3 linked regions of the Macaca fascicularis genome follow. The protein of the gene in region 3 binds, or shares a complex with, the protein of the main gene of each other region. Links are inferred from orthologs where the notes say so. Each region holds a gene or a part of one and is shown on either strand. Other genes may lie near its edges.

Region 1 (2,817 bases), on a different chromosome or scaffold from region 3:
AGCCTTGCGTGTGCTACCTACCGAGAACTCCGGATCCCGAGCCTGGACCCTCAGAGGCTGAGAGGGGGCAGCTGCATCCTTGACCACAACACCTGCTCCAGCGCCAAGTGCCACGGTGCCACGGTACAGGCTCTGGGGGAAGCGGGGCGGGCTCCCGGCTGCAGCCACAGCCTCCACGGTGACCTGGGTCACTGAGTAGCGGGCAAGGTCGGCCTGCTGGCCCTGGAGGCGGGGGAGGCAGCCGTGACTCGTGGGGTTGACGGTGGAGCTGGTGCTGAAGCCTGGGGCTCAGGAAGAATAGATGCAGACTTGGCAGGGGCCCTGCCCCCCCGCCCTGACCCCCGCCCTACCTTCCACCCTGCCCCCACTGCCCTGCCCCCCGTGCAGGTCCCTACCTCACCTTCACCAGCAGAAGAAAGGTCATGGCTCTGGGGACACTCCTGGCCATGGTGAGGTTGCCGGAGTCTCGGTGGATGACAAATGTACTGTTCACATTTCCTGGGAGGACGATGGAAGTGCTCAGTCCCGGCCTCCTGAGGCCCAGGGACCCAGCCAGCTCTGCCTTGCTGGCAGGTGCCCCTGGGGCTTCCCCAGCCCAAGGTGGGGACAGAGACAGGGACAGAGAGGGGTCCGGGGCATTGTTGAGGGCTGGGCCCCACTCACCACTGAAGATGCTGTAGATGATGGCTTGGTTGATGCCGCGGTCTCCATCCTCGGCGTAGATGGGTCCGGGACGCAGGACGAGGGGGGATGGCTTCAAGGATGGTGGAGAGGAGGGCACGTCGTGAGGCTGGGGTGAATGGCCCCAACCTGGCCCCTCTGGCTCCCCATCAAGGTCAGCCAGGGCAGGGCTGGCTGAGGAGGGGCCCAGTCCCGCTGGTGGCCGGGCATCCCTGCCTGTCTAGGACTGTCCCTTGTCCCAGTATCACAGTGAGTCACACCCCTGTGGGTCCCTCACTAACGAATAAGTTGCCCAAAGATACTGAGTGCCATTTGCACGATGCTTGTCTTGACGGCTAAGCAGACATTTAGGAAGCGGGGGGTTCCCGGGGTCTGCGTTTCTGCCTCTCATGTGCTGTTTGGTGGCCCCGGGTGCCTTGGTGCTGTGAAGGTTTGCAGACAGCCTGTGTGGGCCTAGTGGTGACTGTGAGCAGGGCAGAGATCTCACCATCCCTTAAGAACTCCAGGGCCCCAGCCCACCTCCCCAGGCCCCTGAGACCGCCTGGCTCTGGGGCCCACACTCCTCTCTGTGTGTTCAGGGTTTGCTCCCTCAAGATGGGAAAGATTGGTTTATAAGGAGAGTCTGTATTTGTTTCAAAGTCACAACCAAACTTGGCCCCACCCGCTGACCCTGACCCTGCCCTTCTTCTGATCCTGGCCGTCCCTGCCTCCAACCTGCCTAGAAGGCCCCGCCCCGGGCACTGCCCCTCCCTCCCCATTACCAGTGTGTGCCCCGTGGGGACAGCCCCGTGGTACTGAGCTTGGATGCAGACGTAGCCGTCTGAGAAGGTGCAGGGCAGGAACCAGGGGGGCCGCAGGTCGGCAGGCACCACGTTCAGCACCAGCGTGGCGGTGGCCGTGTGGCTGGGCTCCACATTCTCCTCCGGAGTGTCCTGCAACAGCCAGATCAGGCCTGGGAGCAGCTGGGGCCAGGGGGACCTCAAGCATGTGGGACTCAGGGCTGGGGTGAGCCGCTCACCCGCACCAGCAGCCGGAAGGCCATGTTGGGCCGCTCGTAGAAGTCCAGGGGCCGGTCCAGCCTCAGGGCGGGATAGTTTACACCCACCAGGGAGAAGTAGTCACTGGCACCCTGGGGAGGATCAGGGAGGACACAGCCTAAGAGCCTGGGAGGGCGAGGGCGGCTGCGGGTGTCAGTGGCGAGGGGCTCACGCTGGGGCAGGGCAGGCGGCACTGACTGCGGTCGCTTCCTGGAGGGTGTAGAACAGAAGGTCATCCTTGTCTTTGTCCTTGGCCTGCAGTTCTGTCTCAGGGATGACGGTGGAGTTTACTTTAGTGTCCTAGGGAGGGAGAGGGGCTTGGTCTGGCCACACTCTTGGCCCCTGTGGACCCCCGCTGTGGTTGAGCCCCCGGCCACCACTCGCCCCTTGCCCTCACCCTGGGCTCCCGCACCCCCTGCCCAGCCCTGGCAGCTTCGCTGGCCTCACCTCTTCCACCCTTATCTCCTTGGTTGTAAAGGGGAATTCGGGGGCGTTGTCATTGACGTCCAGCACTGACACGAACACCCTCAGCTGGGTCACCTGCAGGATGTGGCCGTCAGCCTCTCCCACAGCCGCTCCCCATCATGAGTGAGGTGTACCCCTCGACGCTATCCTTCCCCATCGTGAGTGAGGTGCACCCCTCGACAGCTATCCGTCCACTCGCTCAGTGGTGTTGGGGGGCTGCAGGGGGGCTGCACAGCTCTAGGTGCTGGGATGCAGAGATCACAAGAGACAAATCTCTGCCCGGTGGTGCCTGTCCTGGCAGGACTTACAACAACAGACAAAAAGGACTTTATAAAGCCAGGAGGTGGCAGGTGCGCCACAGAAAAATAATGCAGGTACTTGGGGATGCAACCAGCAGAATCTCAAGCGAGGAAAGACAATCCAGTTCTTTTCTTTGTTTTCTTTTTGGATACAGAGTCTCATTCTGTCACCCAGGCTGGAGTGCAGTGGCGTGATCTTGGCTCACTGCAACATCTGCCTCCCAGGTTTAAGCGGTTCTCCTGCCTCTGCCTCTCGAGTAGCTGGGATTACAGGCGCCGCCATCACACCCGGGTAATTTTTTATTTTTAGAAGAGACGGGGTCTCTCCATGTTGG
Region 2 (4,099 bases), on a different chromosome or scaffold from region 3:
TAAATAAAGACCAGCAGAACAGTTATTGTAAGAGAATATTTCAAGCTTTCACAGGTGAGAGAGAGAGAATACCTAAGCATTACTATTCAAAATGGTCCTCAAATGGAACAAGAGCTCTCTCCTGACTGAGAAGAACCCCACACCCTCTTCTAGGAGGACAAACTCAGTGGCTGACACAGTTTGGATCTGTGAGATTTCATGGGGAACAAATCTCAAATCAAACTGTAATCCACAATGTTGGAGGTAGGGACTGGTGGGAGGCGACTGGATCATGAATGGTTTAGCACCATCCCCCTTAGTACTGTCCTCATGATAGTGAGTTCTCATTAGATCTGGTTTCTAGGACCTCTCCCCTTGCTCTCTTGCTCTTGCTTCTGCCATGTGAGATGTCTTTTCCTTCTGCCATGATTGGAAGCTTCCTGAAGGCTCCCCAAAAGCAGAAGCTCCTATGCTTCCTGTGCAGCCCGCAGAACTATGAGCCGGTGAAACCTCTTTTCTTTATAAATTACGCAGGCCCAGGCATTTCCTTATAGCAATGCAAGAATAGGCTAACACATTGATTTTAAAGTAACTGACATCTTGCAGTTTGTGGAAGGAGGTAGCCTTTCTGTAGATGGAGAAAGCTGGGGAACCCTAGGCTGCATAGAAGAGATGAGATGACTGGAGAAGGCTGGCTGATGGGGATCGATGTGTCTGAGAAAAGAAAGTTTTAATCAGACAAGAGAGATGGGGAAGATCTGCTTCACTCACTTCCTCATTCAATCTTCAACTCGAGAACTCTCCCAATCCTGGGTTCTTCTGACTCTTCCTAAATGTTCCCTACTTTAATAAAGGGTGTCAACATCCAAAACCTGGGACCTTAACCCTCCTTTTTCTTTATCTGCCCACGTCCAGTCAATCATTATTGATTCTACATCCAAACTGCCACTCAAATCCAACTATATCTTCCCATTCCCAATGTCACTACCCTAGTCCAACTCATCTCAACCATTAAAACATCCCCAAACATTCTCTCCGACTGTTATCCATCTACCTCAGTGAGTTTTGTAAACATAAATCTACTCTGGAAGCTTCCCTGCATAAACCTAAGACATGGCTTCCTGGGCCCTTAGGATAAAGTCCTTACCAGAGTTGACAAGGCTGTTTGTGATCTGGTCTTATCTCTCACACTTGCCCTGACCCCACTCCTACTCGAGCCATGTCCAGCCATACTCAGCTTCTCTAGTTCTCAGGACACAGTTTTCCATCTTAGGGAAAACACTCTTTCACCTGGCCAACTTGTTCTCATTTTCCTAATCCCAGCTTAAATGCTTTCCCCTTAGGGAAGCCTTCCCTCACCCCTGAGATTGAGGTAAATGCCTGTTTAGTACCCTCTGTTTCCTCTTTTGTAACAAATATCATAGATGAACCAAGCACAGTGGCTCACATCTATAATCCCAGCACTTTGGGAGCCCGAGGCTGTCAGATCACTTGAGCTCATAAGTTGAAGACCATCCTGCGCAACATGGCAAAACCCCATCACTACAAAAAATACAAAAATTGCAGGGCATGGTGGCGCACACCTCTAGTCCCAGCTACTTGGGAGGCTCAGGTGGGAGGATCACTTAAGCCTGGGGCTCAAGGCTGCAGTCAGCTATGATCTCGACACTGTACTCCAGCCTGGGTGACAGAGTGAGACCCTGTCTCAAAGCAAACACACGCACGCGCACACACACACACACACACACACACACACACACACATCATAGATGCCTTGTCTTCCTCTCTCAAATCTGATCACTACGACAGGGATTGTGGCCGTCTTGTTGATCACAGTGTGCCCAGTGGCTAGCAAAATATCTCTTAAGAGATAAGTAGCTGGCACATAACAGATACTGAATAAATGGGTATATTGAATTGGATTCACCTGGCTCCTTTATTTACCTTGCCCTTTTCTCTTTCTTTACCCTCTTGCATTATGGTTGCCAACACAACCTAGCCCTCTGATAACAGGCAGAACAAGCAGAGGAGTTGGCTGACTCCTCCATTAAAATCTGGGCAAAGAGATGGTGTGTGTGTGTGTGTGTGTGTGTGTGTGTGTGTGTGTCTATCCACTAGCCAAACAAGTGATAGAGCTAAGACAGGCTAAAGATTCCTTGTAGAGCCAGCAACTCCACTCAAAAGAGCAAGACCCTGTGTCAAAAATAAAAAATAAAAAAAATCATGAGCTTGCACTGGGATTGAAAGTTAATAAAAGACTGTGGGATTTTGATGGCATAGATAAAAAAACAAACAAACAAACAAACAAAAAACTAAAAACTCATTTGTTCCAACCAAGGTTGACAACTTAAAACCAAGTAAAATAATGGCCTCTTTTAAAAGAGAAAACTGTTTAAATTTCATGAAAAGCATTTTTAAAGGCATAGAATTAAAATATCTTCCCTCTTCCCCATGCAGATAATGCCTTAGAGTTCAGAGTCTCTCCTCTGATTGGGGCTAAGGGATGAGCCACTCCCATATTGCCAGACCTCAGTGAGAAAAGAGAGCATCTCTAGGCATAGTTTTCTCTCTTTCTCTAAAAATCCAATCATTTAGACAATCTAGAAAGAGGATAAAGTATTTGTATTGACATCCCTGACTCTTGCTGCTATCTGCAAAAACCTACTGTGAACACTGTTTCCAACGGAAACCATCGGGTTGAACTTACCCTCTACTGCAGATTATCTCTAGGGCTTCCAGGTTCCCATGGTAGGCTGCCAAGAGAGTGGGAGTCATGCCATCTTCATCTGAAAGATTTAGATCTCGCTTGGTAGCCTCTTTTAGAAGTTCCAGGTAACTATCACTAGCAGCTTGGTGGTAACGAGTAGACATTTTTCCTGCTCACCGGAACTTGGCCAGATGTCTCTCCAGGCAGAGAAGGGTGTTGGCGGAGCAACCTTCCTATAGAGCTGGTTAATTAGTGACAAGGAAGAGTGTCACCAGGGGCAAAGCTCATTCCAACTGCTTCCTTCCGTGGAAGGCAACAAGGTTCAAGCCACTGAACTTGGACCTTTTCTCTCTGAAATAGACATGACGTTGACTATTGAAGACTGCTGTATTCATCTTGAGTGTTTTGAGGCACATTTAATTTTTCTATGCCCATTAGTTTCTTGAGTTAATATTGGCCATCTAGGCACAGGATGTAAGAAATTATTTCTTAAAAAAATGCAGAGCTAGTGTAGTTCACTAGCTGTTTTTTCCAAAAAGAACAGCTTTATTGAGGTATAACACCATTAAATTTACCCATTTTATGTATACAATTCAATGATTTTAGAACATTTATAAAGTTGCATGCCCATTATCATAATCCCGTTTCCATCAGCCCTTAAAGATCCCTCGTGCCATGTGCTGTCAATCCCATTTCCACTCCCAATCCCAGGAAACCACCAGTCTTCTTTCTGTCTCTATAGATTTGTTTTCTATGGGCATTTCAGATAAATGGAATCCTACAATACATAGTCTTTAGCGTATAGCTTGTTTCAATTCACAACTTTTTTGAGGTTTGTCATGTATAGCGTGTAACAGTAGTGTCTTTCTTCCTTTTCACTCCTGAATAATATTCCACTGTACTAACATACCAAATGTTCTTCATCCATTCAATGTTTCATGAATATGATGAATATTTGAGTTGTTTCCATTTTTTAGTAATGATGAATAATGCTGCTATGAACACTGACATACAAGTCTCTGTGTGGACACATATTTTCATGTGTCTTGCGTATACATCTAGGAGCAAAATTGCTGGGTTGCATGGCAATTTACATTTAAATTTCAGAAGTTGCCAGACTGTTTTCCAAAGTTGCTGTACTACTTCACATTTCCACCAATAACATATGAGGGTTTCAATTTCTCTACATCCTTACCAGCCTTATTATTGCCTATCTTTTTGTTTATGGCCATCCTAGTGGATGTGAAATGGTCTTATTATGGCTTTAATTTTAAATTCCCTAATGACTAAGATATTGAGCATCTTTTCATGTGCCTATTAGCCATTCTTACATCTTCTATTCAAATCTTTTGCCCAATTTTTAATTGGGTTGTCTTATTAATAAATTATAAGAATTATTTACATACTCTGGAT
Region 3 (3,649 bases):
ATCACACACCCTCCAGAGTTACTCATCCTCCAGCGCCACCATGTAACCCACCTCTCACTGCAGCCTCCACTTAAGGGTGCCCTCCCATGGCCAGTCATGGTGACTCACGCCTGTAATCCCAGCACTTTGGGAGGCTAAGGTGGGTGGATCACTTGAGGCCAGGAGTTCGAGACCAGCCTGGCCAACAGGGTGAAACTCCATCTCTACTAAAAACAGAAAAATTAGCTGGGTGAGGTGGTGCACGCCTGTAATCACAGCTATTCGGGAGGCTGAGGCAGGAGAATCACTTGAACCTGGAAGGCAGAGGCTGCAGTGAGCCAAGATTGGGCCATTGCACTCCAGCCTAAGCAACAGAGTGAAACTCCATCTCAAAAAAAAAAAAAAACACCCTCCCACCTCACACCCTCAAACCACTTGTCCCAACACTGCTCAGCCTCCTCCAGTTCCCATGACTACCCAAATCATGGCCACCCAATGCCAGGAGACCTTGTCAGCCACCCATCACCACGGACAATGACGTTCTACTCAGCATCATCTGACGTTCAACATCAGCCTCCACTCAGCACGGCCTCCTATTCAGCCCCACATGGATTGCCCAGAGGATGACATTGCTTACCGACGAAGGTTTCCAGAGAGCACACAGCACCCCCATTTTCCGTCACCACGCCCTGCACCACCAGCACCACCACCCAGCACCACATGGCACTGTCACTCAATCCGGGCTTCCACTGGCCTCCCCCAGCCACCCCTGCCCACACCCACGCCACCACACCTGCCTTGTCCGGGTCGTAGGCCACCTTGCCACCCCCGCCCACACCCACGCCACCACACCTGCCTTGTCCGGGTCGTAGGCCACCATGCCACCCCCGCCCACACCCGCACCACCACGCTTGCCTTGTCCGGGTCGTAGACCACCATGGTGAGGTCATCGATGGGGATGCGGGGGGAGGCATGCTCGTCCACGTAGCCAGTGAAGTTCACTTGGGCCTCTTCGGGGGTGAAGGTGCAGGCTGGGAGGCTGCAGTTGTAAAACTCAGGTTTGTGGTCATTGACGTCCAACACTCTCACTGTCACCCAGATGCTCACCTTGGCCTCCTGCCCGTAGATGTTGAGGTGTGTCTCGGTGGCCTGAGGCACAGAGCAGAGGTCAGAGGTCAGAGGTCAGAGAGCCAGTGCTCAGAGAGACCAAAAGCCAGAGGTTAGAGAGCAGGATTCTGACAGGGGTGGTGGGGCCTTTGCTCACCGTGACCTGCAGCTGCACCTCCTCATCCTCCTCCAGCAGTTGCTCACGGTCCAGGGAGCCGTTGACCCTGATCACCCCATCTGCCCCGATGTCAAACCAGCCGGGCCACGTGGAGTCTGGCAAGCAAGGAGACAGGTGGAACAGCTGGAACAGCTGCTCCAGTGGCTCTGACGGAGCACTGACCCCGGCCCCGGCCCAGCCCTGGCCTGGGGACACCCCATTCTCACTGGAGATGCTGTAGATCACAGGGTCATTGATGCCTTTGTCGCCATCCACAGCCTCCACTTTCAGCACCGAGGTTCCCTGGAATGGTGCCTGGTCAGTGCTCCTCAAACTTCCCCCGCCTCCCGCTTCCACTCATACCCCACAGGTCCCCTGGGCACCTTGGCTGCGTCCTCAGCCACAGAGGCCGAGTAAAACTCCCTGACAAACTGGGGGTCAAGGTCAGGCTGGTCCACCACGGAGATGGACAGGAAGGCAGGCAGGGAGCACTGGATGGTGAAGCTGTTGTTGAACATGCCGCCCAAGTCCTGCGGGGAGATGGCCGCCCGTGAGCCAGCGCCGTGGGTCCTAGGCCCCCCCTCTGGCACCCCCACTCACACAGGCCTTCAGCTCCAGCTGGTAGAAAGCGCTCTTGTTGTTGTAGCTGAGGCTGCCACTGAGGATGATGGAGCCATTGGCCAGGATCCGGAAGAGATGCTCGCTGTCCCCAGTGCTAGGGATGACCTGGGGCAGAGCAGACTTGGGTCAGTCTCCCTAGGGACAGCCCTGCCCCGAGGATCCCACTCAGCAACACAGGGAAGGCCCCAGCTCTACCACTGACCAGTCACGCCACTGGCACCAGGTCGTATGACCTCTCTGAGCCTCAGTCTCCAGCTCTGGGAAATGGGGCTGGTGACAACCCTCAGTGGGTTGAAAGGAGGATCCAATAAGATGCAGTCAGCCTTCCATCTCTGTGGGTTCCACATCCACACATTTGACCAGCCACAGATCAAAACTGTAGCTATGCTCACAATGGTTGTGTCTGTACTGAAGATGTACAAACTTTTTCCCTTGCCATGATTCCCTAAACAATATAGCATACATAATACGCTATATTTACATAGTATTTGCATTGCATTGGTATTAGAGGTAACCTAGAGGTGATTTAAAGTACACAGGAGGATGTGTCTAGGTTACATGCAAATACTACCCCCATTGCATGTCCAGGGACTTGAGCAGCCAGGGATTTTGGTGTCCTCAGGGATCCTGGAGCCAATTCCCCACAGATACCAAGGGGTGACTGCATGGTATGTGCCAGGCACGCGGTTGGTGCTCGGTAAATGGCGCTATCAACAGCAACTCTGTTTCCATGAGAAATGGGTTCACACGCCCCTTACTGTCTGTGGAACCTGGACAAGACCTGGGAGCAGGCGGGCGGGAAGAAGGGTCTGGTCTGCAGCAGGCACCCTCTTTAGGCAAGTGGGCAAAGTGAGGTTTCCGGGGAGGGGGGCTGGTGGCCAGAGGAAGGTTTGGGGGCCAGGGCTGGGCCAAGGCACGACCAACGTCCCCACCCCAACGCTCGGGCCCCGTGGGTTGTCTGTGGATATGCTGCCCCCTGGCGGTCACGAAGGCGGTCAGGGCCCCCTTCATACTCACCTTCTCTATGGAGTACACGACCATGCCGGCAGGTCCCATGTCTTTATCCACGGCCAGCACGGAGAACACCACGCTGCCCACGGGCAGGGTCTGCAGGGAGGGACCCGTCGCTTACCAGCTCAAACCCAGCTCCTCCTCTCCCTCGTCTGTCACTGCCCCCCGAGCTTCAGTGTCCTCAGCTGTGCACTCAGGGGACAGTGTTCCCCTGTCCTTCCCACCAGGGCTGCGGGTGGAAGGCAGCTGGGGGTGCGGGGCGGCAGGGAGGATCTCCCTCCTCCCCGCCCCACACAGCCTCTCCACCACCTGAGCTGGCTTCTGATTTTCGGAGCCCCTCAGAACCAGGACGAGGGATCATTCTAGAGCCCAGCCTCACAGTGCCACTGCACACTCAGACATCCCATGTGCTCTCTACAGCCTATAGCCATGGGTTTCAAACAGCACCCTACAGAGCTGGGGGCTTCTTCTGGGAGCCCTCTGCTCCTGGGCTCCTGTACACACGACCTCTACTTCCTTTTTTTGTTTGTTTTGTTTTTGCCTGAGACGGAGTTTCACTTTTTCGCCCAGGCTGGAGTGAAGTGGCACAATCTCGGCTCACTGTAACCTCTGCCCCCTGGATTTAAGCGATCCTCCTGCCTCAGCCTCCCCAGTAGCTGGGATTATAGGCACCCACCACCAAGCCCAGCTAATTTTTTTTTTTTTTTTTGTATTTTTAGTAGAGACAGGGTTTTGCCATGTTGGCCAGGCTGGTGTCGAACTCCTGACCTCAGG

Evidence for each region.
Region 1: CDHR2 (region 3) and CDHR5 share a complex: the UniProt entries of both Homo sapiens proteins name them as parts of the IMAC/intermicrovillar adhesion complex. The link is inferred for Macaca fascicularis from reciprocal best matches to the Homo sapiens genes CDHR2 and CDHR5.
Region 2: CDHR2 (region 3) and ANKS4B share a complex: the UniProt entries of both Homo sapiens proteins name them as parts of the IMAC/intermicrovillar adhesion complex. The link is inferred for Macaca fascicularis from reciprocal best matches to the Homo sapiens genes CDHR2 and ANKS4B.

What each region holds. Positions count from the first base shown.
Region 1 is NC_088388.1:522,021-524,837, forward strand, and holds part of CDHR5 (cadherin-related family member 5), read right to left. Parts: intron 2,259-2,817; coding exon 2,166-2,258; intron 2,019-2,165; coding exon 1,917-2,018; intron 1,811-1,916; coding exon 1,700-1,810; intron 1,614-1,699; coding exon 1,443-1,613; intron 755-1,442; coding exon 664-754; intron 499-663; coding exon 401-498; intron 282-400; exon of another isoform or gene 223-281; coding exon 22-222; intron 1-21. UniProt on the Homo sapiens protein: Intermicrovillar adhesion molecule that forms, via its extracellular domain, calcium-dependent heterophilic complexes with CDHR2 on adjacent microvilli. Thereby, controls the packing of microvilli at the apical membrane of epithelial cells.
Region 2 is NC_088394.1:20,669,258-20,673,356, reverse strand, and holds the start of ANKS4B (ankyrin repeat and SAM domain-containing protein 4B), read right to left. Parts: upstream 2,888-4,099; 5' UTR 2,851-2,887; coding exon 2,687-2,850; intron 1-2,686. UniProt on the Homo sapiens protein: As part of the intermicrovillar adhesion complex/IMAC plays a role in epithelial brush border differentiation, controlling microvilli organization and length. Plays a role in assembly of the complex.
Region 3 is NC_088380.1:183,478,090-183,481,738, reverse strand, and holds part of CDHR2 (cadherin-related family member 2), read right to left. Parts: intron 2,972-3,649; coding exon 2,882-2,971; intron 1,970-2,881; coding exon 1,844-1,969; intron 1,774-1,843; coding exon 1,627-1,773; intron 1,547-1,626; coding exon 1,471-1,546; intron 1,360-1,470; coding exon 1,244-1,359; intron 1,129-1,243; coding exon 895-1,128; intron 1-894. UniProt on the Homo sapiens protein: Intermicrovillar adhesion molecule that forms, via its extracellular domain, calcium-dependent heterophilic complexes with CDHR5 on adjacent microvilli. Thereby, controls the packing of microvilli at the apical membrane of epithelial cells.